7 linked regions of the Oryctolagus cuniculus genome follow. The protein of the gene in region 1 interacts with the protein of each later gene in a pairwise test. Links are inferred from orthologs where the notes say so. Each region holds a gene or a part of one and is shown in the gene's direction. Other genes may lie near its edges. The genes, in order: DVL3, SYT6, WT1, SNX22, TNFAIP8L1, KLHL12 and BAHD1.

Region 1 (4,253 bases):
CCCTGGAGTCAAAAATTTGTCCAATATAGGGGAAGGCATTTGACACAGTAGTTAAATCACTAGCTGGGATGCCCACATCTTGCATCAGAGTGCCTAGTTCAAGTACCGGCTCCTCCACTTCCATGCCAGCTTTTTGCTAATGCACTGGAAGGCAGCAAATGATGGCTCAAATATTTGGAGACATGGATGGGGTTCTGGCCTCTTGTCTTTGACCTGGCCCAATCCTGGTTATTGTAGGCATTTGGGGAATGAACCAGCAGATGGAAGATCTTTCTCTCTCTTTCCTGTTCCCTCCCCTTCTCCTCCCCTGCATTTCAAATAAATATATATCCAGGATCATATGAATGTTAAGGATATTGGGAAAGCATTATGGAATGTGGAGAGGTTTCCCAGTGGAAGAGGTGAGTGAAAGTGCTGCTTGCTAACTTGGCAAAGTGTACAAAGTGTCCGTACTGCCGCCTGTGATCTCCCTGCGTGTGATCTCGCCCTGCCTACCTTTCTAGCTTCACCTAGTCCCTCTAGGCACAGTCGCCTTCTTGCTCCTCACGCGAGTTAAGCTTCTTCCTGCCTTGAGCTTTTCTAAGTGGCCATGGAATACTCTTGCCCCCATCCCATGGCCGCTTCCTGCTTGTTATTTTTAGGTCTTGACTCAAATGCAAAAGGCCTTCTCTGACTACCCAGAGTCCTCCTGTTCCTGTCACTATCACAGTACCCCATTGTATCTTTCCATAGCATTTGTCACTAAGAAATTATTCATTTCCAAGCCTCGGTGCTTCCTGGCAGGTGAGTGAAGGCCCTGGATGCTACTGCTCTATCTCCATGTCTTGCCCTTAGTACGCACTCGAAATGTATTACGTTAATTAAAAGCCAAGGGATGAGGAGGCCTGTTAGGAACCGATTATACCTAGCTCCCACTCGAGGCTGACTGGCCCAGTGATGCACGCATAGGCTCATTCTTCATGCAATCCATTCACCTAAGCCACTACTTTGCTCCCAGACGCTGAGGTTCTGAGGAGACGTCAGAATCCCGGGACCGTCAGGCCCTCAGGGAGCTCAGTCACCGCGGCGGGGCTCCTCAGCGGACCCTGGAGGGCCACGCTGAGATAATGTCCTCCCGCGATCCAGTCAGGTCCACCCCCTCCCCCAGACCATCTCCGGAGCCCAAAGCGCCCCCTGCATTCCAGCCCTCTCGGGCAGGGCAGCGAGGACCGCCGGTCCGCTCCAGCGGGAGCCCGGGACGCGGCAGTCCCGAGAGATCCGCCCCTCCGCCCCGGGGGCCTGGGGCCCGGGAGCCGCCGCGCGGTCGGGGTCACGGAGGCCAGGGAGTCCGCCGGGGCCGGCCATCTGCCGCTCTGGCCGCGCCGCTCGGCGGCTGCGGCGGCGGGGGGCGGGGCCGTGCCGGGGCGGGGCCACGCCGGGGCCGGGGGAGGGGAGGCGGCCGGGCCGCAGCGCCGAGCCCGGCGGGCCGCGGCCACCGGAAGAGTCGCGGTCGCCAGCCCAGCCGGGGGAGCGGGGGGCGGAAGCGGCGGCTGCGGCCGCGGCGGGCGGCGCTGGGACCCGGGAGCGCCGGGAGAACAAGGGAGCTGGCGCCGCGGCCGGCCGCCGAGCTGGGCTGAGCCGCTGGGCCGCGCCGAACGCCGCCGCCGCCGCCGCCGCCGCCCGAGAGGCCCGGCCCGGCCGCCCGAGCAGGCCGCGCGCGGGCCGCCGGGCCCGAGCCGGGGCCATGGGCGAGACTAAGATCATCTACCACCTGGACGGGCAGGAGACGCCGTACCTGGTGAAGCTGCCCCTGCCCGCCGAGCGCGTCACCTTGGCGGACTTTAAGGGCGTCCTGCAGCGACCCAGCTACAAGTTCTTCTTCAAGTCTATGGACGACGATTTCGGGTGAGCGTGGCCCCCGCCTTGCCTCGGGGGCCGGCCTCAACTCCCCCGGCTTTCCCCGCGTCACCCTGGCTTCCAGCGAGCGACCCCCTGGCTTTCTCAAAGGCCGGGGTTCGGGCCGCTCTGGACACTCCCCGTTCACCTCTCGGGGGGGGGGGAATCTTGGTTTCCTAGTTTGGGGGGACGTCCCCTCTCCCAGAGCCCATTTCTGCCCGTCGAGCCCCCCCCCCACCTCCTCAGAGACCACACGGAGGGACACACCCCCGCACACCCAATTCCAAAGCCTTGGTCCCCCAGCGCCGTCCTGCAAGGGAGCCACCTTTTTAGTGCAGACTTGGGGTGTTGGGTGTTGGGCACTCGGCCTTCGCCTTCCCCATATTTGGAGTATCCTGCATCTGAGGGCCCCGCCGTGGGACTTTGAACTGGGGGAGGGGGCGTTGGGGGATGCTCGGCGCCAGGCTGGGAGCTGGGCCTGTAGACCTGATGTTTATTTAGCTGTCTCCCCTCTGGCCCGCGGGCAGTTCGGGGATTGCCAAGGGAACAGAGTGCCTGACCCCTGAGGAGCAGTCCTCACTAACCCAGGTGCTGATCCCTGGGCACTGGGGCCTTTCCTGTCCCGCCGTGGCCAAGGTGGACTTTGGGAAGGGCCTCAGAACCTGGATGGCAGGGCCAGGAAGAGCTCATGGTGTTTGTCCCCCTCCCTGGTGGCGGCTCCTCCTGCTGCAGGGCTCTGGACCCACAGAGTTTGGAAGCAACCACTTCCCCTTTAAGAGGGGATGGAATGTTGGAGAAAGGTTCTTAGCAGCTGGCCTGGGAGGGGGAGCCTGGCTGATCCCCTCACACACCCCCTCCCAACTCCCTGGGGACTGGGGGAGGGGGAGGCCCCCACACTAGCCTGCCCCACACTTACTGGGCCCTGGGCCTCACAGCGGCGGCCTCTTCAGCCCTAGCCTGGGGCCCCAGAGCTGAGTGAGGGGAGGCATTCTTGTCCCCACTGTTCGTCAGTCTGGCTGCCCTCCCAGGGCCCTGGCCCTGGGAGCCCCAGGAAGCACGCACCCTCTGTGTCTGTCTGGCATGTTTGGCTGTCACCTTCTGCCCTGGAACTCAGGGTGTGAGGAGCCCCTGGAAGTGTGTGCGTGAAAGTGTTGTGTACAGTGGGAAGTGTGGGGCTCACTCTTGTTTGTGTTGTTGGTGCTCCTGCCCTGGGGTGGGGTACTCCTGGTGTGGTAATGATTGTCTGGTGTCAGACACCCCTGATGAGTAGATTCTGAGGGATTAATCTGGAAGGAGTAGGGGCTAAGGGCTGGGTGCCTTAGCCTGGCAAGAAAGGACTGGGGTTGGAAGAGACCTGGATGCCACCTTGGGATACAGGATTGGGGGAAAGCAGCCAGAGTCCAGTGCACAGGGCCAGATGCCTGGAGGAACTAGGCTAGGCCTGTGTTTCCACCCTTCACCGACCCCGCCTCTGAAGCTTAGACTCTGGGGGCTGCCTCTCCCTTTCCCTAACTGCAGCCATAGCCTGGGACTCCCTGCTCACTGTTTCCTTACTGTTTTTCTTTAAGTCCACTGTCAGTCCACTCTGTATTCTTCTTAGCTTGACTCAAAGACATTAAATTACAGAGCCAGTTTTCTTAGGTATATTTCTTTATAAAATACATTAAAGATAAGTATTGAACTGAGCAACATTTATTCATGTGCCACCTGGAGCCATCTTGCATACAGCCTCTCTCTGTGAGGTATCAGAGCTGGCCATGCTAGCAGGGTTGAGAACAATGCTAAAAATGAAGTGGAGGTGATTGATCTTGTTTGTATCCCCTGAAGGAAATGAGCAGGAGACCTGGCAGGGCCGTCTTATCACAGAGGATTGACGGCTGAGGAGCGTATATATGTTTCATCTATTTGACAAACTTTGTGGGCCTTCCAGTGTGCCAGGCAATGATCTAATGCTGTTCAAATTTTCACTCATTGAATCCTCATAGCAGCCCTATGAAATAGGTCATAATATCCTATTTACAAATGAGAACACAGAAAGCTCAAGTAACTTGTCCAAGGTCACACAGCGAGTAAGCAGCAGAGCTTGATTAGACATCAGAAATTTGGCTCCAAAATCTAAAGCCATAGTCATGCAATTCCAGGTAAGATTATTATTTTTTTAAAAAGGGTTTATTTATTTGAAAGACAGAGTTAGAAGAGACAGAGACCAAGAGATCTTCCATCAGCTGGTTCATTCCCCATATGGGCTCAATCACCAAGACTAGGCCTGGCCAGAGCCAGGAGCTTCATCTGGTCTCCCAAGTGTGTGGCAGGGGCCAAGTATTTAGGCCATCGTCTGCTGCTTCCCCAGGCACATTAGCAGGGAGCTGGATCCGAAG
Region 2 (3,500 bases), on another chromosome or scaffold:
AAGGCAGGGGCCAGAGCTTCTCCTTCTTCCTCAGGAAAAGGACCATTCGGCCAGGTGGACAAGGATTTGTTTCCTGCATGGCACAGGAACTGTCACCTTCCTGCGAGGCTGGGGCACGGGGCAGTTTGTGTCTCCCTCATTTGGGGACTGGGGAGACTGGGGACCCTGGCGTCTTCTTGAACTGGTTGCACCCCACTAGGCTACACTGCGTGTGAGAGGCGTGGGGACTGTACTCTCACCACAGAGCGCGGGAGTGCACACAGATGGATCAGGTGGCTGAAGCGGCACCCAAGGGGTAGAGGAGCCAGGGTTACCTGGAGACGCTTCCTGGGTGAGCGGGAAGGGGAGCTCACAGGTGGAGGGCATGAACACTCGCCCAAGGGACTCCCAGGGGAGTTCCCTTGGCGGGGCAGAGTGTTTAAACCGAGTGCACGAAGCCCAGGGAGTAGCAGACACAATGCCTGCCACGCAGGGCCCCAGCGAGCCTCCGAGGTGGGAACGTAACCGTGGAAGAGCTCCGTGGGTGCTGGTCTTGATCGCAGGTGCTGTGGAGGCTGCAGGGTCCTGTGTGCTGGAGGTGGCGGCAGCAGCCAGACCCTCTCCTGGGGAACTGGGGTATTCATTCACCTTGTGCTCCTGCTGGATCTGTTCCGGGTGGGGTGGAAACGGTGGGTTTAATGCCATCTAGAGGAGAACCTTGGGACTACATGCTCTGGAAGGAGGTGGGAGAGGGCTTGGTGAGGACTCCAGCTCAGGACTCCAGCGAGTCTTCAGTAGAGACTGGCTCTTTGTGAGGTGTGGACAAGAAACGTAAAGTCACCTTTGACTCCTCTCTTTCTGAGAAGACACCTCCTCCGGGAGGCCTTCCCTGCCTGAAGATTCAGCAAGTGTAGCCTCCCTGGCGTTCTCTGCCTTTTTTCTTCTTGATGCTCTTGCCTGTCCCACGTACTTATGTAGCTCTCTTGTCCTGCTCGGCCCTGATGAAAGGAAAGCCCATGAAGGCAAGGATTTGTGTCTGTTTCGTTGTCTCCCCTCTCAGCACCTAGTACATCACAGGTGCTTAGTGATCACTGGGTAAATGAATGAACAGATGACTAGGTGGCCCCGCCTGAAGTCAGAGCCACCCAAACCCTGGCGTCCAGCCTGGCTCCACCATCCCAGAGCCCCGAGGACCTCGAATCTGCGGGGGGAGGATGCTCAGTGACAGCGCCCCTCCCCACTCGTCATGGGGAGCAGAGAGGACGGGCTCTGGAAGGCGCTGCTCCATACGACCCATGCACAGGCTCGCTAAGGAGTTTTTGTGTCCTCTCGGAATCGCCCAGGGAACCTTGCTCCTGGCGCTGCGCGGGGAAGGAGAGGCAGCAGAGCGCATGGCCCCTGCCGTGTCTGCTCCTGAAGAACTCCTAGGGGTCCAGGACGTGATGTCCAGTGTGGGGTGGGGGCTGTGGGCCTCCCCCATGAGCAGCGCGCCCCGGGCAGGCACCGCTGCCTTGCGCTCTCACGCCGAGATTGCACGTTAGAGCCCTGGGCGTGGACGCTGCCAAAGCAGAGGGATTGATGACGAGCCGCTGGGCTGGGGGACAGAAGCAGGAGGGCCGCAGAGGGGACCCCTGTGGGCTGCAGCCTGGATCTTGTTGGGGACACTGCCGGGACCACACATACATACCTGGGTGGGCGGGAAATCCAGGGGCTCAGTGAGCTGCAGAACAGGACTGGGGCCCCCCAAGATGTCGGCGGCTGCAGGCTTCAGGCAAGGGGCGCACGTCGGGCAGGGCGCTGGCCAGCTCTGAGCCCAGAATCTGGTCAGAGCAAGAGCGGGTGTCCACGCAGGGGGCAAACTCTGGTGGTGGGGGTGACACTGTGATCTCTGCCTTCTCTCCCCAGTTACTCCCAGCATGGTGGCCACCTCTAGGGTCTTACACACATGGCACCGTACCCCAAGAATCTCCTGCCAGGACCCTGGGCTCTCCTCCGGCAGCTGCCGCACGCCCCTCACCCGCCTTCTCGTGTGCTTCCTTGCAGGAGAGCGTGGACCTGGGGGAGATCATGTTCTCCCTGTGCTACCTGCCCACTGCGGGCAGGCTCACGCTCACCGTGATCAAGTGCCGGAACCTCAAGGCGATGGACATCACAGGCTACTCAGGTGCCTCCCCGCCCCTCCCCACCGGCCAGACCTTAGCGTGCAGAAGGGGGTTTGAGGAGGCTGGCTAAGACCTGCCAGTGTCTCAGAGCTGGGCACCAGCAGCGGGGCAGCGGCGTGGGCAGCAGCTCCGCTCCCACCACCTCCCCGCTGTGTAGATGCCTCGGTTTCTGAGTCTGAAGAGCAGGAATGATGATACCTTGCCTGGATGAACAAATTAAGCCATGTAAATATTTAGAATTGTACCTGACTGCATTATAATAAGCACTTGGTAGAGATTAGCTGTTGCTCTCAATCATTCTCTTAGAGGAAGGAGATGATAAGAAAGAAATCCATAGGAGCAAAAGAAAAAAAAAGTGAGGACAGTCTTTGAGGTATATGAGGGGCCCCAGGACTCACAGAAGGGCTCCGTGGAGTGGGAGCGTAGATGTCCACAGGTGCACCCAGGCCTGGGGCGGCAGCCTGTGTCCTGGGTCAAGGAGCAAATGCCCTGGCAAGCACAGTGCATTTCTGCATGAGTTTCTCCTGCAGGGCTGCTGGCCTCTGCCTCGGCACTCAAAGAGCAAGGCCGGAGATGTAGCCTTGTTTTTACAACAAAGGAAAGGCTCGCTCAGGTGCACCTGCAGCGCCCTGCAGGCTGGACATGGGGTCAGAGGTTCAGTCCCTCGGCCACGATTCCGCAGGTCGGTGTAGGGGAAGACAGTTGAGTAGGGGAATAATAGAGGGGCAGGCGTTTGGCCTGGCGCTTCAGCGACGCCCACTTGTACCACATCAGAGTGCCTGGGTTTGACACCCAGCTCCGCTCCAGACTCTAGCTTCCTGCCTGTGTGCGCCCTGCAAGGCAGCCGTGATGTTCTCGTGATTGGGGTCCTGCCACTCACATGGGAGACCTGGACAGAGTTCCCAGCTCCTGGCGTTCCCAGGCCATTGTGGGCATTTTGTTGTGAACTAGTGCGCAAGAGTGTTTCTCTCGCCTCGCTCGCTCTCTCCCTCCCTCTCAAATAAATTTAAAACAAAATCAGTTCAAAATAGCAAAGGAGTGGCTTGCTGCTTGAGTCCTGAACACCCCCCACCTCCCGTCCCTGTACACAGAGAGCAGTTTGGGCTGCACTCAGAAGAGCAAGGATGGGGAGGCTCATTCTAACCCCCAGGCCCCTGCCCAAGATCCTCTGATGATTCCTGTTACCACTTGGAAGCCTCTGTTACCACTTGGGAGGTGCCTCTGAACTTGGCTGGAAATGCAAGTATATTGAAGATTTCCCTTGTATTTCCTTTGTATTTATTAATTATTCATTTCCTGATAGACGCCTTGATATAATCCCAGTTACCACAGAGAGACCACGATGCAGCTGAAAACACC
Region 3 (4,296 bases), on another chromosome or scaffold:
GTCCTGAGCGGGCGGAGCTGACCGAGGCTGCGTCCACACAACGCAGGGTAAAACCGAAGTCTAAGAAATGTGGAACGGGTCTAGGCGACCGGAGCACTCGGCTTCTTTGACCAACTGCGACGACCTCCATGGTCGCTTCACTTAGGCGCCGCTGGAGCCGCGGGCCCCAGCCCCGGCCTCCCGCGCGAGGCCTCTCAGCAACCGGCTGCTTCCTGCCCCGCGCGCCTGGCAGTCCCAGGCTGCGCCATCGCCGCTGCCTCCTGGCGCTCTGCGTGTCTGTGCGCCGCTGAGGCGCTCCCCGCTTCGGGCTCCCGGCCCTTCTCCTTACCCATACGCTGGTTCCCGATAGATCTTCACTACTTTGGAAGAACTCACAAAACAAAACCAACTCCCCAACACCTGCTCTAGCGCGCGGGGCTCCGCGGGACAGCGCCTAAGTGGAGGGAGGAGTCTAATTGGCGAAGCCACGCGCTCGGAGCCCCCCACGGTGCGAACACTGCCGCGCAACGTAGAGCCGAGGCAGGCTCTCCCTGTCCCGCTGCGTCCTGGGCCTCGTGTCCATCGCTTTGCTGACCAGAAGCAGAGGCAGTGCCTGGCAGAGCGGTCTCAGGAGCCAACCTCTCTCCGCAAGCATCGCATCCGAACCCTCCCCATTTCCATTCCTCTTTCTCCCTCAACTGGGCGCCGGGATGCTCCGGCCAGAGTATAGGCAGGCTCCGGGTGTTTTCCCCAAGGGTTCTCTTTCCTCCCAAACTAGCCTCGCTTTTCCCGGCTTAACCGCACAACTGGATACTCCTTGGGAGAAAAGGAAAATACGGGCCGCTGGCAGCAGTTTTAGGTAGGCGGCAACCGCCCCCCTCTCAGACCTTACCAACTAACCCACGCCCAGACGATCCAACACGCCCCGCTTAGCGTAACTGATGCCCAGCTGGGGCGCTTTTGCCCTGGGTCTCGACCCCCGGAATCCACAAAGGGGCCGCCCCCACCCCAGTGACCCGAGGATTACGGACATCATCCCAACTCGACGGCTCGTAAAGCAAGAGCCGAAGTCGCGGGCGCAAATACCCAGGGTATCCGCCTCTTTCTTCGCTCCCCTTCAGTTCCCGCCCTCTTGGATCCCACCTGCTCCTCCCTCCAGCCCGCCCTCTAGGATGAACCACCCAGCTCCAAGGATGCAGAGGGGGTCACACGGCTTACCTGGAGGGACTCGCCCGCGGCCTTGAGGCGCCCACACTCCTGAAAGCTAGGATGGGGCGGTGGGGGGAGGGCTGCGCCACACAGGCCTGCTGAGAGCGCGTGGCGGGTGGGAGAGGAGGGTGTCTCGGCGAGGGACGCTCCCTCAGGCCCGCCCCCCCCCGCCCCCGCGGCGAGGGCGCCCCCAAGGAGCTGTGCGCGCTGACCAGCGCGGCTAGGGCTGCGGTGTGAATGGAGCGGCCGAGCCTCCAGGCTCCTCCTCCTCCCCCGCCGCCGGCCCCTCTTATTTGAGCTTTGGGAAGCTGGGGGCAGCCAGGCAGCTGGGGTAAGGAGTTCAAGGCAGCGCCCACACCCGGGGGCTCTCCGCAAGCCGACCGCCTGTCGGCTCCCCCCTTCCCGCCCTACCTCCCACTCACGCACCCACCCACCCAGCCACCCAGAGCCGGGACGGCAGCCCAGGATCCGGGGCCCTGCCGCCTCCTCGCCGCGATCCTGGACTTCCTCCCGCCGCAGGAGCCGGATTCCACGTGTGCCCCGGAGCCGGCATCTCAGCACGCGCTCTGCTCGGGGCCCGCGTGCCTTCAGCAGCCCGAGCAGCCGGGAGTTCGGGGCCCGGGCGGCATCTGGGCCAAGTTAGGTGCGGCCGAGTCCAGCGCCGAGCGTCCGCAGGGCCGGAGAGGCCGCGGGGCGTCCGCGGTTGAGCTGCAGCAGATGGGCTCCGACGTGCGGGACCTGAATGCGCTGCTGCCGGCCGTCCCCTCGCTGGGCGGCGGCGGCGGCTGCACCCTGCCAGTGAGCGGCGCCGCGCAGTGGGCGCCGGTGCTGGATTTCGCGCCCCCGGGCGCCTCGGCTTACGGTTCGCTGGGCGGCCCCGCGCCGCCGCCCGCTCCGCCGCCACCCCCGCCGCCGCCGCCGCCGCCTCACTCCTTCATCAAACAGGAGCCGAGCTGGGGCGGCGCGGAGCCGCACGAGGAGCAGTGCCTGAGCGCCTTCACGGTCCACTTCTCGGGCCAGTTCACCGGCACAGCGGGAGCCTGCCGCTACGGGCCCTTCGGCCCTCCTCCGCCCAGCCAGGCCTCCTCTGGCCAGGCCAGGATGTTCCCCAACGCACCATACCTGCCCAGCTGCCTCGAGAGCCAGCCAGCTATTCGCAACCAGGGTGAGTCGGCGGGGGAGCGCGAGGCGGCGGCGCCGGAGCTGTCGCCGCGCGTGGCCTCTCCTCTCCCCTCCCCCGTCCCGGATCTCAGCTCTGGCCCCGCAGCCTCCGCTATGGCCGTGCGGGTGGCGGAAGCGTTGGCCAGGGAGCGGGGGAGCGCACGCCAGTAGAGGCTCCCGACATTCTCCACAGCGCGGCAGAGCGGGGAGCCTAGCGGTTCGCATGAGCCGGGAGTCCGCCTGGGGCCCCGCGAATCCTCCCCTCACGGGAATGGAACAAGGGGAAGGGTACAGAGTGCGGCCAGGCCTCGGGCCACGAGTTGTTTTTTTTTTTTTTTTTCCCCTGCTTTTGGCGCCTCCAAATTATCACTAGGCATTGCACTTTTTAGACGTGTGTAGATGGTGGGGTCAGGTTGGGAGCAGCGCGGGTGAGCATCCCGGGCCTGCCTCCCCGCCCCGCCGCGCCAAAATGTCCAGGAGCTCCCCAGGTATTAATACGGTGCTGGCACACACTGGCACCCAGGAAGAACCGTGGGGCAGTGACCAGGTGGCTTGCCTGAGCCGCGCCTGTGCTGGTGGAGAGTGCGCGCCTTAGGCGGTCTCTCAGGTTTCGCTCAGGCAGCGGCCACGCGAGGCTCCAGCCACGGACAGGAACCCAGCTTACCCGATTCCAAATGCTACCGCAGGCATTTAAGGCCGGAGCAGATGCCCTTGGCGCGCCTCCTCGTAATGTAAACCAGGGAGAGAGTTTGCAACCTGATGCGTTAGGACAAGGCAGGCTTGTTCGCCGTCTTCAGTCGATTCCCCCCGAGCGACGTCGGCCGGTGATTCTCTTATACCCGCGCGGGCGTCCACGCGCGTGACGTTTGGTCCCGACCAGCGCAGACTCCTTTAGAACGAGCGCCTGTGGTCCGGGCCCTTCGTTTATTCTCCTTGCATGTCTCTGCTGTTGAGAACCTTAAACCGGTTCGGGTTGATGGGATGTTTTAGGAAACGCAATGGCGGACGCTTTTCCTGGATCACCACCTCGCCCAGGCCCAGGACTGGGATGGTTCTAGAATGAGTGGGGTAGGAGGAGCACTGTTGTGCACCGTGTTCCCGAAGTACCAGGAGGCACGAAGTACCCTGAGGCACGGAAGAAGAGGTTGGCTCTTCTCGCTCTCACCTGCGTCTTCTGAAAGAGGGTCTGCGTGGCTCTCCCGACCACCCAGGAGCCCTTGGCCCAGCCGAAGCCGTGGCAAAACCGAAACCATGCAGTTTCCTCCAGAGAAATCTGGGAACCGGGTCCCACGGAGGAACCTTAGGCAGACCCCAGGGCCCCTCTCCGCCTCTCGGGAATGAAGTTTTTGGAACGCAAGGGCTGTTGGAAGCACTTACTGTGGCTCTCAGAGACTCATGTTCTCGGGGCGCTCCACCTCTTACTGTAGGCTGCTGTTAACCTTTATGGAATCTCCAGGTCTCAGTTTCCCCCTCTGTCAGAGGAGAGTTGAGATGGACAATTGGAGGTTGGGTCTGCCCTCAGAGGTGTCGGGGAGAGAAGTGGCAGTCTGACTTCTCCCAGCGCGGGGCTCTCCGTCCAGGACAGAGTAGCGTACCTTAACAGCCCAGGGTTCCAGACGCGCCGCCGCCCGGCAGGTGTGTGACACAAGTCCGTGGGTGGACTTGTGTTATCTGGAGAGACCCTAGAAGCTTCCTATCCAAGACCCCGGGGGAACCAAAGACTGCCGCACCTTTATCTCCGTTTTGAGTCTCAGTTCTGCCCTGCGAATCTTGAAACCTGGGTTCTCTGGCTTTGGTTGGGGCCCCAGTGTCCAGTCTCCTGGTGGGCAGGTGCTTAGATTCCATCAATTCCACCTACATGTAGGGGCAGAGGTGAGGTTCTCAACCAGTGGACACTGCACTCCTGGGGACAGTTATAAGGCCCTTCCAGTGGACAGGCTTCAAGAG
Region 4 (4,017 bases), on another chromosome or scaffold:
AGAGGAAATGAAAGCACAGAACTTCCCCTTGCTTGGGCTGTTTCCCTTGGGAAGCCTTAGCTTCCTGATTCTGAGGTGTGGTGGGATCTGGAGGTGGACGGGCGGGGGGTGGGGGTCGGTGAGGTCCACTAGCCACTAGGGGTCATGCGCCCAGCCGCTCCAGCTCAGAAGCACCTCCGCACTAACAGGGTGAGATCTCCTGCCCCAGCCCTCAAGACAGGCCCTGTGCTTCCCAGGTCCCAGCCAAGACCGGCACGGCGTGAGCTCTTGGGAAGCAGCGCCTCCTCTCCCCGCTCCTCACGGGACAGCTCAGAGTGGGGCCAGAGGTAGCGGCACAGGCACTCCCCATGACCTCAGAGTTCTGGGGTCAAATCCCCCCACCCTCCCAGAAGGGTGGGCAAGAGCAGCCTGCTGCCACATCCCACAGGCCCTCTGCCCCCTGCCAAGCCCGCATCAGCGGCCATTAAGTCAGCACTTACTCCGCTAAGGGCTTAGCCAGGATCACCTCAATTTGTGTACACTGTCCCGAAGGAGGACATGGAAGTGAAAGCTAAGTTTATTCTGGTGCAAACAAATGTGAAATCCATTCATATGAGGGAGCGCCTCAAATGCATTTCGGATTTCAATTTTTGGTATAAAAAACCTTTAGTTCCACTTCCCACGAACTTTTGCCTTTAGATGACTATTACCTCTATTTAGCAAAGGTGCACGCAGTTCCTGAAATCCCGGCTGTCTGAGCCGCAGAGAACAGCTTGGGTCTCTAAATCGCCGCTTCCTGCAAAGCGGGCCGGCAGCAGGTTGGGGCTGAGAGCGAGAGTGGATGAATTCATGGGTGACCGAGTGAATGGGCGCCGCGGAAGTCGGACACGGGCGCTGGATTGCATCCAAGCCTTGCCCAGGCGTGGCTTCCGCTGGAGTCTCCAGGCCTAGATCCCAGGGGCCAGACCGAAAGGAGGGAAGGGGCTGGGGAAAGCGAGGGACGTCCCTGGTTGGCCCCAGAGCAGGTGCCGAGGTCCGGGCCCCGCCTCCACTCGCAGGCTGTGGCACTCAACAAAGAATAGGCGACGCCAGGGCTGCGCGTGTTCCTGGCAGCCCCTGAGCACTCGATCAGGGTCTGACGAACGCAGGGCTCCACCGAGGCGCTCCTCGCGCCGCGGACGCGGGCGCCGTGCGGACCCCCCGCTCCCCGCCTAATCGTCTCGGCGCAGGACCCCGCGGCGCGAGGAACGCCCGGGGCGGGGCCTGCGGGGCGGGGCCTGCGGGCCCGAGGGGCGGGGCGGGGTCCGCGCGCGGCGGCTGCAGAGTTCGGGCACAGAGCGGCCGGCGCCGGCGCCCCGGCGCAGATGCTGCAAGTTCACATCCCGTCGGTGGGGCCCGAAGCCGAGGGGCCCCGGCAGAGCCCGGAGAAAGGCCACATGGTGAGCAGGGCCGCGGGGTGGACAGGGGCGCGGGGACCCGCTGGAGGTCCTCGCCCCGAGCAGAGTGGGGACCGGGGCTCCCCGGGCTGGGCTGTCGGGGGCTGCCCTGCCCAGGGTTCCGGGGCTGCTGGTGCTCCCCAGCTATTGAGTGAGCGCACGAGCAGAGGGGCGGGGCCGCCAGCCCTTTTTTCTAAGGATGGGAAGTGCGGGAGGGTCCCCGGGGCTCTCCATCGGGGCCTCACGCGTGCCCCCCGCCAGGTGTTCCGAGTGGAGGTGCAGTGCAGCGGGCGCAGACACACCGTGCTTCGGCGTTACAGCGAGTTCCACGCGCTGCACAAGCGGGTGAGGCGGCCCCGCCCCCTGGCCGACCCCCTCCCCCCGCCCCCGCCAGCCTGGGCCCGCCCCGGGGAGGCAGAGGGGGAAACTCGGGTCCCAGCCTGGGCCGCCCCCGCTGCTGCTTCAGTCCCTAGAGGGCGCAGACCCTGCTGGGGGCCCGTGGCAGGGAGGGCGCAGGGGGCAGATCCCAGGCGACTGGCCGGGTCCTGGCAGGGGTGCGGGGAGGCGTGCGGAGCGCGGGTAGGCTGGGGGCTCCGTGGAAGGGCTGTGAGGGCACCACGGTAACCTCGGCAGATCAAGAAACTGTACAAAGTGCCGGACTTCCCCTCGAAACGCTTGCCCAACTGGAGGACCAGGGGCCTGGAGCAGCGGCGGCAGGGCCTGGAGGCCTATATCCAGGTGTGTGGCGGCCTGACCGGCGCTGGGGGACGCCCGCAACGCAGGGATGCTGCTCACTGCCTCGGGCTTCAGCTTTCCGCACGGCCCTCGGTGGTTGGAAAGACCGAGTGAGGACCGGGGGGCAGGTGGCGCCTGGTGCTCCCTTGCTACGGGAAGTGGAGTGGGGGGTACTTCCCAGGCCACCTGGGGGGTCCGGCCTGCGCTGTCCACCCCGGGTTTAATGCTCTGCTCTCCCTCTCGCGATTCTCCGGATTGCACTGGGCTCTGCACGCCGGCGGCTGCTGTCCTCTGTCCTCCAGGGCGTCCTGTACCTGAACCAGGATGTGCCCAAGGAGTTACTGGAGTTCCTGAGGCTTCGGCACTTCCCCACGGACCCCAAGGCCAGCAGCTGGGGGTATGGAGAGCCCGTGATGGGGGTCAGGGGCTTTCGGCAGCAAGCCAGCAAGGGAAGGTTTTGGAGGCCAATGTACTTGCCTGGTCCCCTCATCAGCTGTCTGGACCCACAGAGGGGCTTTTTCTGGACAGCCTTGGCTAACCCCAGCCACCTCCGGAACCGGCTGTCACAAATAGAAGCAGGGGTCCCCTGGGAGGTGAAGTTCTGGGCTTCTGCATCTCCACCCCTTCCTCACGGGCCCCGGGGCATCCCCCGGCAATTATAGGGCCTCTCTCCTCTGCTCCCTGGGGGAGCTCCTGCGGGGCACGGCAGGCAGGTCCGAACCTTTGGCAGTGACCGGCTCCTGCTCCCCCTGGTGGCCACAGGGAGGGAGGCGCGCCTGCAGCCTCGGGCCTGGCCGGCCTCCCCCTGGGCCCAGCCTTTCCTGATGGAGCCTCCAGAGCCCACATCTGTCACCTTTTCCTTTGTGGGCCTCTGAGGATCTCAACCCCTAGTCTCCATCCCTGCGGGACTTGGCCCTTCCCTTCCCCACTCCCTCCTGGCTCACGACCCTACTTCTTCCCAGCTCGCAGCTGCACCATCGGCCTGTCCTCAGCTTCCGCCTGGATCCCTACCTCTGTGCCCCCTCCCCAGGTGAGCTCCTCTGACCCGCGAGTGACCCATTCTCAAGGCCCAAGTCCGGGTAGACCGGTAGGGGCAGGCTTGCCAGTTCTCAGGACCCCTGGGTGGCCCCTCGCTCCTGCTGCTCTGTGCACCTGAACCTGCACTGTAAACACCAGTGAATGAATTCAGCCTGGTTCCCCTGGTCTAAAATTCTGTTACAACCCGGCCTTACCAAGCTGATGAAACTGACCTGGAATGCCAAGGCTTCATTTGGGGACACAGCTGCAGGAGCTCCTACTCCCCAGGGACGCATGAGCCGGTGGGCAGTGGCTCAGGGAGCCGCAGGCCTGAGGCCAGACCTGTCCTGCACCTCTCCGCCCACAGCCCTCCACCCCTTCTCCCGTTCTCCCCTGCAGAACCTCTGCCCAACATGGTGGTGAATGGTGTGCTCCAGGGACTCTATGGCTTCAGCATCAGCCCCAGCTCGGCTCAGCCAAAAGCTGCCGGTCACCCTTCTGCTCTGCCGCCCACGCCTTGAGCAGCCACCCGCCGGGACAGTCGTGTGCCTCAGCCCCTGCGCTCTGTCTCAGGGACGTGGGCTGGTCCTCCGGTCCTGGTGCAGGGGTCGGCCTGCACTGGCAGCTGGGGTGGGGAGTTCACGCGTTCCTGGAGCCAGGCGCGAATGGTCAATTTCGAGGTAGGCTGTGACAGGTCCAGGTGTGTCTGCACTTGGAGAAGCAGCGGCAGTTTTAAGGCAAGGGCTGAACGCCGTGCCTGCCTACCTGCCTCTGTGGGAACACCTAAATCAAAGGGCCAGGCACCCATGGCGAGCAGGGAGTCCCCGCACGCCAAGAACCCAGCCCACAC
Region 5 (3,841 bases), on another chromosome or scaffold:
TTCTGACCCTGGCCTTTCCGGGCTGTGGACCTGGCTCAGGACACGGCACGAATGTCCCGGACCCCTCCCCCCGCGCCGTCTCCACCTCTTAACCCCACGTCTAACCTGCCCAGTAGGAGGGTGGGCATTTGGACCCACGGTTAAGACACCGCTTGGAGCACCTGCCTCTGATATCGGGGGGGTCCTGGGTTCGAGTCCTGACTCTTCTTCCCATCCAGCCCCCTGCGCGCATGCACCCCGGGAGGCCGCAGTGAGGGCCCGAGTGCTGGGCCCCTGCACCCTCATGGGAGACCTGGATGGAGCTCCCGGCTCCTGGCTCCCGCCTGGCCCAGCCCTGGCCGTTGCACACGCTGGCAGTGTTTGCTGAGCGACTGCGTGAGTGTTCAGGCCGAGCCCCCGCAACTTTAGCACCCTGCTTCGGTGGCCCCGACGCCTGGCCCTGCACCGTCACCGGCAGGAAGGAAGCCGGCATTTATTTTGGGCCTTAGCCCGCTCCCCCGGGACGGCCGTCAGAACAATGGGCCCGTGGGGAGGAAGGCGGGGGCGTGCAGCTGGCAGCCCAGGTGTGCACGGGGCTGGGGGCCGCTGCTGGGCCCCGCCCCTTTTCCTGCGGGCCTTCTACGGAGCCTGGGAACCAACCCAGGGCTGGCGGGTCCAGGGCGGGCAGGAAGACCCTCGGGGGTCCAGGGCCTGGGCCTCCTCCCCAGGGAACCTCGGGACTCCGGGCCCAGGAGACTCCGTGGGAACAGTGCAGAGCCCACCCCTGCCCCAGGCCCAGCGCCGTGACTGGGGGAGGGGCACCAGCCCGGGGAATCCAGGTGGGCTTCTAAGAGGAGGTGATGGCGGCACCGAGATTCGAGGGAGCTGAGCCATTGCAGGGGGAGTCCAGGCGGCGGGAAAGGCACCAGAGAAAGCCGGAGAGGGCATCAGGTGGGACCACACTGGACACCGTGGCTCCAGGCAGCGGGTGCCTGGGGCCTCCGCTCACCCCCATTATAAGACGGGGAAACTGAGGCAGGCGGCGATTACGTTGCCTGCTCGGGAGGCCAGCGCTGGGAGCAGGCCCTGATCCGTCAGGGCCCCCGGCTGGGCTCTGGGGTGCCGAGGTGCCGAGGGGGGTGGCTCAGTGTCTCCCAGCCTCTGTGTTCCGTCCTGCAGAATGGGCCACCAGCCCAGCGCCCGGCAGAGACCATGAGCTGGGCCCAAGCCGGTGGCCAGGGCCGGGGGCAGCCGGGGTCTGGGGACCAGGGAGCCGGCAGGGAAGGCCCCGGTCAACGCTGGCCTGCCCTGACCCCTGAGGGCAGGTGAGGACGTCCCCAGGGGTCGGAGCTCACACACAGGGCTTTGGGGGCTCCCGGGCGCCCCTGAGGCCCTCCTGGGGTCCTGGGTCCCCGGCTCTGCCTGTAGAAGTTTCTGGACTGAGGACACAGGGTCAGGCCTGCTGCCTCCCAGCCCAGTGCGGGAAGCAAAGCCAGGAGACGCCTGGCCACTTCAGGGGCCGGCCATGCAGGCTGAACTGGGGGTGAGCCTTGCACGGGGAGGCGCCGGGGCTGGGGCCCGGGGGAGGCGTGGGCTTGGTCCTGGGACCCGGGAGGATGCATGGGGGGGTGGGGGTGGGGGTGGGCGGGACACCCAGGGACGGACCCTGCGCCTGTGCCCTGGCCGGTCCTCCCTGGCCACCTGCCCGGCCCCTCCCTGGGCGGGAGCAGCGGCACCCCAGGGTCCTTCCAGGGCCCCACGGTGTCCTCCCCAGGAACCCACTGCCCAGGCTGCTACCCCCCCACACGCACCAGCTGACTCCAGGCCTAAGCCCTGGGCACCGCTCTGGGGGCGCCCCGAGAGGCCGTGCACAGCTGGGGTCTGGGGCTGGCGGCCCCGCCCCAGCTGTGGGAGGGGGGAGACTGATGAGCGGGCCTGGGGGCGGGGCCTGCGGTTTCGGCCCGCCCCAGCCGCTGGCCCCTGACGCGCTGCCCCCTGCGCTGCCCCCTGCCGCAGGGCCATGGACGCCTTCAGCCCCCGCAGCCTGGCCCTGCAGACGCAGAAGAAGCTCCTGAGCAAGATGGCGTCCAAGACCATGGCGGCCGCCCTGGTGGACGAGGCGAGCGGCCAGGCGCTGGACGAGCTGTACCGCGCCACCAAGGAGTTCACGCGCAGCCGCAAGGAGGCGCAGAAGCTGGTCAAGGACCTGGTCAAGGTGGCCGTGAAGCTGGACGTGCTGCTGCGGGCCGGGCAGCTGGCGGCCGCCGAGCTGGCGCAGCTGCAGCGCCTGCGCCGCAGGGCACGCAGCCTGGCGCTCACCGCCCTCAGCTTCCAGCAGGTGGCCTTCACCTTCGACCGGCGCGTGCTGGCCGCGGGCCTGCTCGAGTGCCGGGACCTGCTGCTGCAGGCCGCCGGGCCGCACCTCACGGCCAAGTCCCACGGCCGCATCCAGCGCGTGTTCCGCCACTTCGCCGACGGCGACTTCCTGGCCGCGCTCTACGGCCCGGCCGAGCCCTACCGCTCGCACCTGCGCGGCCTCTGTGACGCGCTCGGCCGCATGCTGGACCAGGACCGCCTGTGACCCTGCGGGCAGGGGGCCCTGGGCTGGCGGCCGCGCGAGGCGGGACCCCGGGGCCGGCCGGGCAGTGGAACTGATCGGAGCCCACGGCGGTTTCTCTGCAGCAGCCACTGCCCGGGGCGTCCAAGACACTCGGAGAGGCAGAGGCCACCCGCCCGCCCGCGGGTCCCCTCCCCGGCTCCCCCACCAGGGCGGAGGGGCCCCAGCCGGACTTGAACCCAGGCACCGCGCGGGCTTCCTGTGGCCCCTTTCCCATCCGCTTCCCGCGGAGTGTTCCCGCCCCTGGTCAGCCCCAGCCCCGCCCTGGGCCTCGGCTACGCGCGTTTGCGGCGCCGCCCCGGGTGCGCGGGGAGCATCCCATGCCGGCCCCAGGCCTGGGCCCCCTCCTGCCTCTCCCTGGCCTGCCCGACGGGGCGATGGGCGAGTTATCCCCAGGCTGGGGGCGCCTGCCATAATCCTAACTTTCCAAACTCGGAGGCCACCTAGGAGGGGCCCGCAGACTGCGTTGTGGGAAAAACGGAATTAAAAGACGGGTCTGGGGCGGGGGCTGTGGCGCAGCTGCTTAAGCCGTGCCGGGGACCTGGGCTCGGGTCCCGCGCACGCGCACCCTGGGCCCCGGCACCCACGCGGGAGACCCGGTGGGGCTGCCGGCTGCAGCCTGGTCCTGGCCTGGCCGCTGGCTCCTGGGAGTGAACCGCTGTACGGAAGATCTCTCTCCCTCTGCCTTTCAAGTTTATTGAATGCACAAACATTTAAAAAAGCACATTTATTTTGGCGCAAATAATTCTGAAACCCACGCGCGTTCTTTTTTACGGCACCGACGGTCCCCGAGCCCTCGCGGGCCTGGGTGTGGTCTCTGCACCCAAGCCTGTCCCTCTGGTCCACGTCCCAGAGCCCTGGGCAGCGCCTTCCTCCCGCACGCCTGGTCTCCTGCCGCCACTGCCACCAGGCCCTCCCGTTACGGAGGTGACAGAGGGGCTGTGGCGCAGGGGTGAGGCCGCCGCCTGCAGCATCGGCTCCAGTTCCAGTCCCTGCGGCTCCGCTCCCACCCCGCTCCCTGCTGTGGCCCAGGAGACAGCGGACAGCCTGAGTGCTGGGCCCCTGCGCCCACTGGGAGCCCGGGAAGCTCCCGGGTGCGGCCTGGCCCGTCTGGGGAGTGAACCTGTGGATGGAGGCCGCTCGCGAGCACTCTCTCTAATAAGGACGTCTAAACAGACACAGGAGGCCCGAACACACGCCCACCCGGGGAGCACACGGGGCTCGGCGCCGGCTGCACACTGCCCT
Region 6 (4,063 bases), on another chromosome or scaffold:
TGTAAACCAGGGAGTCTTCGGGTGGGAAGATTGCTTATGGAAGACAGAGACACCAAGCAAAGTAGCAGCCGCCCACCGTGCTGGGGTATCACCAACCTTAGGCATCAGAGGCCGCGCACAGGAAAGCAGTGTGGGCACTGACTTAGGTGGAACTGAGGAGCCCCGGCCCCTAACAATGCGTCCAAGTCAAGAAGAAGCAGAAGGCCTAGCCGCCCCCTCCCTGCACCCCCGGGGACGGCAGACAGGTCCGGCAGGGCTGCTCCGAGACCCTCGCAAGCCCCACTGTGACGCAGAGAACGCCCGAGGTCTCGGGGTTCTCGCCACAGCACTAGTCGGCGCGAGGCCGCCACTGTGGACCGTGGATTTTGAGACAGTTGCAGTGTCTCTGGGTTTCCTGGATGACAGGCAGTACCCGAATCCCTGGCAGGTAAAACGGAGCCCCTGCAGTCAGCGCCTTCGCCTAGAAGCCCTGGGAACGCTCCCCGTGGGGCCTGCCTCGTGGGCTGCGGGCAGAAAGAAACTCGGTTTCAGCGCATCACAGAGCTGGACGCCTGCGCGATCCCCTCCCCGGGCGCCCCCTCTCCTGCTGCTGGCCGAAGCCAGCCCCGGGCACATGCGGGTCAGGTGACGACGACGCCTCACGTGATGCCGACCCAGGGGAGGAGGGGGGCGGGCCTCGCTTGGCATTACGTCATCACGTCGCGCGGCCGCGGGGACCGGAGCCGGGACGCCCACGGTGACGGCCCCAGAGCCTCCGAGCGGGGGCGGCGGCGGCGCTCCGGCTCCTGCTGAGCCGCCTGCTCGCCCCGCTCCCCGCCCCGTCCCCAGGGACTGTGGCCGGGCTCGGCGCGGCCGCTGGGCCCGGGAGCCGAGGTGAGTGGACCGGAGGTGGCGGCAGGTAGCCCCTGCCTTCGTAAGGTGGTGGCCCTTCCCCCATTCCTGGGGCTCCCTCCGAGGAGGAAGGCGGGGGGGCTTCTGGCCTGCGGCACCCGGCGACCCGCGCCCCTCCGCTACCTCTGCCAGGCGGTGCCAGCCTAGCGCCCGGCGTGGTCCGCGGCGAAGACCTTCCTTCCTTCTCGGGAACTGACCCTTACCAGGAGTGGACACCCCGGCCCCGCCCCCAACCTGCCGTGGTGGAACCCCCGTGTTCAGGTGTGATCGGAGGTTCTAGAATAGGGCCCTTCCGAAAGGTAAGGGTGAGGCTGTGCTGAGGCTGCCTGGGGGGGCCGCTGTCCCCGCGCGAGGTCCTTCGGACCCTTGCATCCCAGGGTGGCCCTCGGTTGAGCGAAGGAAGACCTTTGTGCAGGACGCTCGCTCTGATGAATCACCGCCTGGTGTGCAAAGTGCCTGTGGCACAGTCGCTGGGTGGATCCTGTAGAGTGATGTGCGGACCATGGACAGAAGTAGATGAGTTTGGGGTCTTGTTTTTGCTCCTCAAACATCCTGACCGTGAGTTGCGAACTTTTTTTAATTTCTTGGATTATTTTTGAAAGTTTTGGATTCCCAGTAAGATGTACTCTCTTAATGACCACCCCCCATTTCACTCCCAGAAATTGTGCCTGAAGCCAAAGGAGAAAAAAAGGCTGTGAACTAGCACCTGTTCCTTAAGTTGCTGTTAGGTAGGGAATCACTGAGCTGATGCGCACAAGTGAACTTTGGGGCACAGCCGTCCCTTGGTGTCTGCAGCGCATTGGTGCCAGGAGCTGCCACAGATACCAGATAGGCTGGCACTCAGGTCTCCTGTAGAACGCTGTGTTTGCATGCAGCCTACCTAATGCATTGTAACTGCTGTGTAAGTGGTTTTGATACTCTGCTTAGGCAATAATGTCAAGGGAAAAACCGTGTGCATGTATAATACCCATGATTTTTTTTTCTCAAATAGTTCTATCTGCAGTTGGTTGACGGTGTGGGTGGGGAGCCATGGGACAGAGGGCTGACTTGTAACAGGCCACGGCAGCGATGGCGGTGAAGTTGGCAGTAGAGGGATTTTAGGTTTCTATCCTGACAAGTTCTCTGAGTATAGAAGAAGTGCTGTGAATATTGATGTGTTAGCATTGGTGGACGTTCCCAATCGTGTAGAACAGGAAGACTCCTACTGAGGAGTTTTGACGACTCTGGGGAGACCACAGATGGCTTGCGTGGTCTCTGCTATTCAAAGCAGGTCCCAGGTTGTCGTTTGAAATTTCACTTTCAGAAGAAATGTAATTATATTTGGAAATCCTGATGCATAATTCTTTGCATCTTGTATTTCTTTGGAAACCAGTTCATTTTCACCAATACTAGCCTTTCTTGTTCTAAGTTGAATACACTGTTTTTCTTATATTTAATTGTTAAATTTTAATTGTGTACCTGCTAGGGTCCATATGAACCAAGAACCCACCCTCTGAATACTTATTCTCTTATGAATATTAAATAGCCATGATGTCACACCTTTAAGGGATTTTACCTTTTTATCACTTGAGACAATCCCATGAAGATACATAGGCCTTTCTGTTTAGAATACAGTTGAGCACCGATTATAATAAATTGCAGGTGGCAGGGACACTCATGACAGAGGACTTGAGAGGAAGCAGGGCTGCTCCTTAAGCTAGAAGAGTTAGCGGCCAGATGGCGGTGAGCCCAGAGAGCGCAGGGGCTGTCCCTGTGGGCGTCTGTGCCTGCAGAGGTCTCAGCCCCCGTCTGGGAAGCTGATGGCCTGTGTGCCTCTGTTGCCTTCTCTTGCAGTTCCAGGACCCAGGGCCCCCTCTGTTCTTTCTCCATATTGCTTGATGGGAGGCAGGATGGCCCCCAAAGACATAATGACCAACACGCATGCTAAATCCATCCTCAACTCGATGAACGCCCTCAGGAAGAGCAGCACCCTCTGCGACGTGACGCTGAGAGTGGAGCAGAAAGACTTCCCCGCCCACCGGATCGTGCTGGCTGCCTGCAGCGACTACTTCTGCGCCATGTTCACCAGCGAGGTAAGCAGGCCGCACCCGTGCAGCCCATGCCTGTAAGCGCCTCGCCTCGCCTCACCGAGGAAGACAACCCAAGCTTCATATGGTAGTGGAGTCTTGTAAGACGCTGTGTAAGCAGGCAGGCTTATTCACAGTGAGATCCGCACATGCCTGTGCCTTCGTTTTCTCACCTCTGAGTTAGAGATAATAGTGCTGCCCAGTGCGTCACGCAAGGCTGTGGCGAAGACAGAAAATTACGTGTCAAGTGCTTAGGACAGCTTAGTGGGTAATGAGACGTTATTGACTTTGTGTTGGTTTGTTTTTAGAGATTGACTTATTTATTTATTTGAAAGTCAGAGTTACACGGAGAGAGGAGGAAAGGCAGAGGCAAAGAGAGAGGTCCTCCATCCGCTGGTTCACTCCCCAGATGGCCACAATGGCCGGAGCTGCACCCGATCCGAAGCTGATAGCTTCTCCCGGGTCTCCCACGTGGGTGCAGGGGCCCAAGGACTTGGGCCATCTTCCACTGCTTTCCTGGGCCACAGCAGAGAGCTGGATGGAAAGTGGAGCACTGGTGCCTGGATGGGATGTCAGCACTGCAGGCGGTGGCTTTACCTGCTACGCCACAGCACTGGCCCCCAGCTATAAAATTTGCCTTCACATTTTTCTAAGCTTTAATTTTTTTTTTAATTATTTGAGAGGCAAAGTTACAGAGAGAGAGAGAGGGAGAGACAGAGAGAGGTTTTCCATCTGCTGTTTCACTCCCCAAACTTGACCACAACTGCTGGAGCTGGGCCGATCTGAAGCAAGTAGCTTCTTCCAGGTCTCCCTTGTGGATGCAGGGACCCCAGCACTTGGGCCATCTTCTACTGCCTTCCCAGACCACTAGGAGGAGCTGGACTGGAAGTGGAGCAGCTGGGATTCCAAACCAGCATCCATATGGGATGCTGGCACTGCAGGTGGAGGCCTAACTTACTATGCCACAGCTCGGGCCCCTCCCCAAACAATTTTTGACTACTATGCCTCCCCAGCTTCTGATATATGTTTATAATCTATTTTCATTTATTTTTAAATGTTTATTTTTATCTACATGAAAGGTAGAGCAACAGAGAGGGGGAGAGAAG
Region 7 (3,500 bases), on another chromosome or scaffold:
AGTGGCAAGTCCCCGCACATGGCCTGAGCGGAGCCTGGCAGGCTGCCTCCCCTTTGCAGCTTCCCTGGCCACACTGCCCTCAGCCAGTTTCTCTGAGCACTCTCTGGTGCGGCAGGTCTCCTCAGAGAGGGTTCCTGGCCACCCCAGCCCTGGCCCAAGGCCACAGGAGCCAGCTGGAAGGAACTGTATGGGAACCCTCAGGCTTGGGACTTTGAGGGTTAAATCCTGGCCCAGCAGGGACTGCTCCGAGCTCCTGGAGCTGAGTGAGTGTGAATAACAATAGCAGTGGGAAGTTAAGCTGAAAAGCCTGGGCTTGCTGGGTGGGGAGGGGTCGCAGGGGTGCTGCTGGGGGGCACGTTGTCTGGCACCTTACTTGGCAGGCCTGTGCTTTGGGTTGGGGAGTGGGTAGGAAGAGGACCCCTCAGTGGTCTCTGACCACCAACGGCCCCTCCCCACCGGCCTCTGCTGTTCTTCATTGGCCATGCCAGCTCCCAGCACACAGCCAGCTCTAGCCTCGCTGAACTGGGTCCAGCCTGCTCCGGTGTATGTTGGCCTGTTTTGCCAAGCAGAGTTAGGGGATGATGATGCATGTTGTGGGCATCCTTGGTCAGCGGCTCTGGGCTGCCTAAGACTTTCCTTGCCTGCTCCTGCCTGGCATCCTGCCTGCAAAGAGGGAGAACCAGGGAACAGGGCAGGGCTAACAGGGCAGCCCCGCTTTATCTTCTGCATTAACTCTCCTCTGATGAGTTCTTTTTCCCAACTCTCGGTGCCTGGCAGGGCTTTGGGGCTGTAGCACAGGCCCAGCGTGCAGCCCTGGGTTTCCCACACTCAGGAGCCTGCTGATGCCCTCCCCCCCACTCTGGGTTACACGTCCCTGGAGTCTGAGCCTCCATTCATTTGGCTTGGAGGGGTGGCTGAGGCCTCCCAGACTCCCGTCTTCTCCAACCCAGGCACACGGCAGGCACACCCAGGCACGGCCATCCAGCTCCATGTGCTAGGTAGGGAGTCCTCAGATGCTGCACTTCGCCTGCCCCAGAGCCCAGCAGGCAGGTTCTTCACTTGCTGCCCGTCTCCTCCTCCTGCAGCCTCTCTGGGAAGCCCAGATTCAGGGGAGGGCTGGGTAATGATCTAGCAGTGCTCATGACAGGCACTGATGGAGGGACTCCTGTCGCCCAGGCTCCCAGCCTGCCTCAGCGTCTTCAGAGCTGCCCCCTGGTAGGAGAAGACCACACAGAGCAAACAGAAAGCTGTGCCTCCATCCAGCTCCTCGGGTCCCTGACCCTGGGATCTGCATTGCTCTAGGAGCTCTCCAGGGGCTTATTTGGGCTAAAAGAGGAGGAGCAGTTCCCTGCTCAGCTGCTCCACTGGACCTTAGCACTCTAAAGGGGGGTCCTGGGGAAGCCCAGGCAGGCCAGGGGCACTCCTCATTGCCTGTCTTGTGTCCTGCAGGTGAGAGGGACTCCATGACACACACTCGGAGAAAGTCCCTTCCCATGCTGAATTCAGGCCTCCCCGGCCGCCGGGAGCCCCTGCAGATGGAAGACAGCAGCATGGAGCAGGGGGCAGAGGGTGTGGAGCCAGGTATGCCTGACAGCCCTGGGCACCTCACAGGGCGCCGCAAGAACTACCCACTGCGTAAGCGCCCACTGGTTCCTGAGAAGCCCAAGGCCTGCAAAGTGCTGCTGACCCGCCTGGAGAATGTGGCTGGTCCACGGAGTGCAGACGAGGCTGACGAGCTGCCCCCTGACCTGCCCAAGCCCCCCAGCCCGGCCCCATCCAGCGAGGACACCAGCCTTGCCCAGCCCCGAAAGCGGCGCCTGGCCTCCCTCAATGCAGAGGCCCTCAATAACCTGCTGCTGGAGCGAGAGGACACTGGCAGCTTGGCAGGCACCCGCCGCAGTCGGGGAGACCCCCAGCGCAGCCGGGACCGCGACCGGGCCGCTGGCGCCTGGCCTTCCTCCAAGAAGCGGCCCCGGCTTGGAGACCTTGGGGAAGGCAATCGGGACCTGTCCCCAGAGCCAGCTCCAGATGAAGGTGCCCGTAGAGATGGAGACCCAGCACCCAAGAGACTGGCTAGCTTGAATGCAGCGGCCTTCCTGAAGCTGAGCCAGGAGCGCGAGCTGCCCCTGCGGCCACCTCGGGCCCACACAGAAGCGGATGGGCGCTCGACCGAGCTCCCGGCACCCAAGGCGCCAAGGCCAAAGTGGGCCAAGATCAATGGCAAGAACTATCCCAAGGCCAGACAGGGGGCTGGCTCTGGGGAGGCTGCAGGCCCACCGGGCTGGCAGGGACACCCTGATGAGCCAGGGCCAACTGCCACTCCTCGTGAGCCATCCAGCCAGCCACCTTACCAGCCCCTGAGTAAGGCTCTGGAGAACCCCTTGGGGCTGCGCCCACACCTGCCCCTGCTGATGGGTGGGCAGGCAGCTCTGAAACCGGAGCCTGGGCGCCCAGGTGAGGAGTCACCTGCCCCCAAGCAGGAACTGCATCAGCCCTCTTTTCCTGCCCCTCAGCTGTCCCCGCTGCCAATGCCTGGCAACTCTGCCGACTACAGTGGCCTGTGTGCTGGGCCTGAGCTCACCACACTGGGCAGCTTCTACCTGTACTGTGGCCAAGAAGGGCTGCAGTGTGGTGGCTACTCCGCATGCCCCATGCTCCCCGAGGGCAAGCTGTCCCCAGTGGCTGCCCCTAACGAGGGGCTGCTCTTGGCCCCAGGCTCAGTGCCCTCAGGCACCCCTTTCCAGCACCCTGCCTGGGGTCCTTCTCGCTACTGCTCCAGCGAGGACACAGGGATGAGCGGCTACAGCATCTGCGGAGTGTTGCCCCTGTCTCTCACCCACATTGGCACTACCTGTGGCGGCTGCCCCTACAAAATGCCTTTTGCAGCAGGTAAGCCTTCCTGGGAATGGGGAGCCTCTGAAACATGGCGTCCAGGGTGGGCTGTGGTTCTGGGCAGGGGCTTGGTTTCTAGCCACTACTACAAGCCAGAGAGCTTTGAGAAGGGAGGGCTTGCCTGTGGAAATTTCCTGGGGAGTGGCAGCCTCGAAGTGGCCGAGAGAGCAGGAGGGCCTCGCCGCCTGCCTCGCTGAGATACCTGTCTGGACTCTGAGTCACAGCTTACACACTGATTGGGGCTTTGACCAGGTTGTCCCGTGACCCTACGGCCCTCCTCAAGGAAAGCTAGAATTCCTTAGTTTGCAGAAGCCCAAACCTTCTGCGTGCCTACTGGGCTCAGCCTTCACAGGGAGGTTGGTAGGTAGTGCCGGTGGCAGCTTCGCCTTAATGTACAGGCCTGAGAGGTGCAGTGCCCAGACCCAGCATCTTTTTTTCTTTTCTTTTCTTTTTTTTTTTTTTTTGAAAGACAGTTAAAAAGAAAATGTCCCCTCCATTTGTTCACTCCCTGAGTGGCTGCAACAGCCAGGGCTTGGCCAGGCCAAAGCCAGGAGCCAGGAGCTTCTTACGGGTCTCCACATGGGTGTAGGGGCCCAGGAACTTGGGCC

Evidence for each region.
Region 2: the proteins of DVL3 (region 1) and SYT6 interact in binary tests that used the Homo sapiens proteins (3 or more experiments, as listed by UniProt). The two-hybrid records come from large-scale screens. The link is inferred for Oryctolagus cuniculus from reciprocal best matches to the Homo sapiens genes DVL3 and SYT6.
Region 3: the proteins of DVL3 (region 1) and WT1 interact in binary tests that used the Homo sapiens proteins (3 or more experiments, as listed by UniProt). The link is inferred for Oryctolagus cuniculus from reciprocal best matches to the Homo sapiens genes DVL3 and WT1.
Region 4: the proteins of DVL3 (region 1) and SNX22 interact in binary tests that used the Homo sapiens proteins (3 or more experiments, as listed by UniProt). The two-hybrid records come from large-scale screens. The link is inferred for Oryctolagus cuniculus from reciprocal best matches to the Homo sapiens genes DVL3 and SNX22.
Region 5: the proteins of DVL3 (region 1) and TNFAIP8L1 interact in binary tests that used the Homo sapiens proteins (3 or more experiments, as listed by UniProt). The two-hybrid records come from large-scale screens. The link is inferred for Oryctolagus cuniculus from reciprocal best matches to the Homo sapiens genes DVL3 and TNFAIP8L1.
Region 6: the proteins of DVL3 (region 1) and KLHL12 interact in binary tests that used the Homo sapiens proteins (3 or more experiments, as listed by UniProt). The two-hybrid records come from large-scale screens. The link is inferred for Oryctolagus cuniculus from reciprocal best matches to the Homo sapiens genes DVL3 and KLHL12.
Region 7: the proteins of DVL3 (region 1) and BAHD1 interact in binary tests that used the Homo sapiens proteins (3 or more experiments, as listed by UniProt). The two-hybrid records come from large-scale screens. The link is inferred for Oryctolagus cuniculus from reciprocal best matches to the Homo sapiens genes DVL3 and BAHD1.

The regions. Positions count from the first base shown.
Region 1 is NC_091435.1:93,733,659-93,737,911, forward strand, and holds the start of DVL3 (segment polarity protein dishevelled homolog DVL-3), read left to right. Parts: upstream 1-1,453; 5' UTR 1,454-1,723; coding exon 1,724-1,884; intron 1,885-4,253. UniProt on the Homo sapiens protein: Involved in the signal transduction pathway mediated by multiple Wnt genes.
Region 2 is NC_091438.1:56,259,353-56,262,852, forward strand, and holds part of SYT6 (synaptotagmin-6), read left to right. Parts: intron 1-2,022; coding exon 2,023-2,143; intron 2,144-3,500.
Region 3 is NC_091432.1:33,511,590-33,515,885, forward strand, and holds the start of WT1 (Wilms tumor protein), read left to right. Parts: upstream 1-1,496; 5' UTR 1,497-1,905; coding exon 1,906-2,353; intron 2,354-2,703; exon of another isoform or gene 2,704-4,296. UniProt on the Homo sapiens protein: Transcription factor that plays an important role in cellular development and cell survival. Recognizes and binds to the DNA sequence 5'-GCG(T/G)GGGCG-3'. Regulates the expression of numerous target genes, including EPO.
Region 4 is NC_091443.1:87,211,748-87,215,764, forward strand, and holds the start of SNX22 (sorting nexin-22), read left to right. Parts: upstream 1-1,217; 5' UTR 1,218-1,343; coding exon 1,344-1,418; intron 1,419-1,676; coding exon 1,677-1,760; intron 1,761-2,048; coding exon 2,049-2,153; intron 2,154-2,452; coding exon 2,453-2,547; intron 2,548-3,112; coding exon 3,113-3,180; intron 3,181-3,566; coding exon 3,567-3,688; 3' UTR 3,689-4,017. UniProt on the Homo sapiens protein: May be involved in several stages of intracellular trafficking. Interacts with membranes containing phosphatidylinositol 3-phosphate (PtdIns(3P)).
Region 5 is NC_091447.1:59,885,495-59,889,335, forward strand, and holds the end of TNFAIP8L1 (tumor necrosis factor alpha-induced protein 8-like protein 1), read left to right. Parts: intron 1-1,995; 5' UTR 1,996-1,999; coding exon 2,000-2,560; 3' UTR 2,561-3,341; downstream 3,342-3,841. UniProt on the Homo sapiens protein: Acts as a negative regulator of mTOR activity.
Region 6 is NC_091444.1:18,666,275-18,670,337, reverse strand, and holds the start of KLHL12 (kelch-like protein 12), read left to right. Parts: upstream 1-1,263; 5' UTR 1,264-1,319; coding exon 1,320-1,449; intron 1,450-2,724; coding exon 2,725-2,963; intron 2,964-4,063. UniProt on the Homo sapiens protein: Substrate-specific adapter of a BCR (BTB-CUL3-RBX1) E3 ubiquitin ligase complex that acts as a negative regulator of Wnt signaling pathway and ER-Golgi transport.
Region 7 is NC_091443.1:63,632,837-63,636,336, forward strand, and holds part of BAHD1 (bromo adjacent homology domain-containing 1 protein), read left to right. Parts: intron 1-1,449; 5' UTR 1,450-1,463; coding exon 1,464-2,889; intron 2,890-3,500.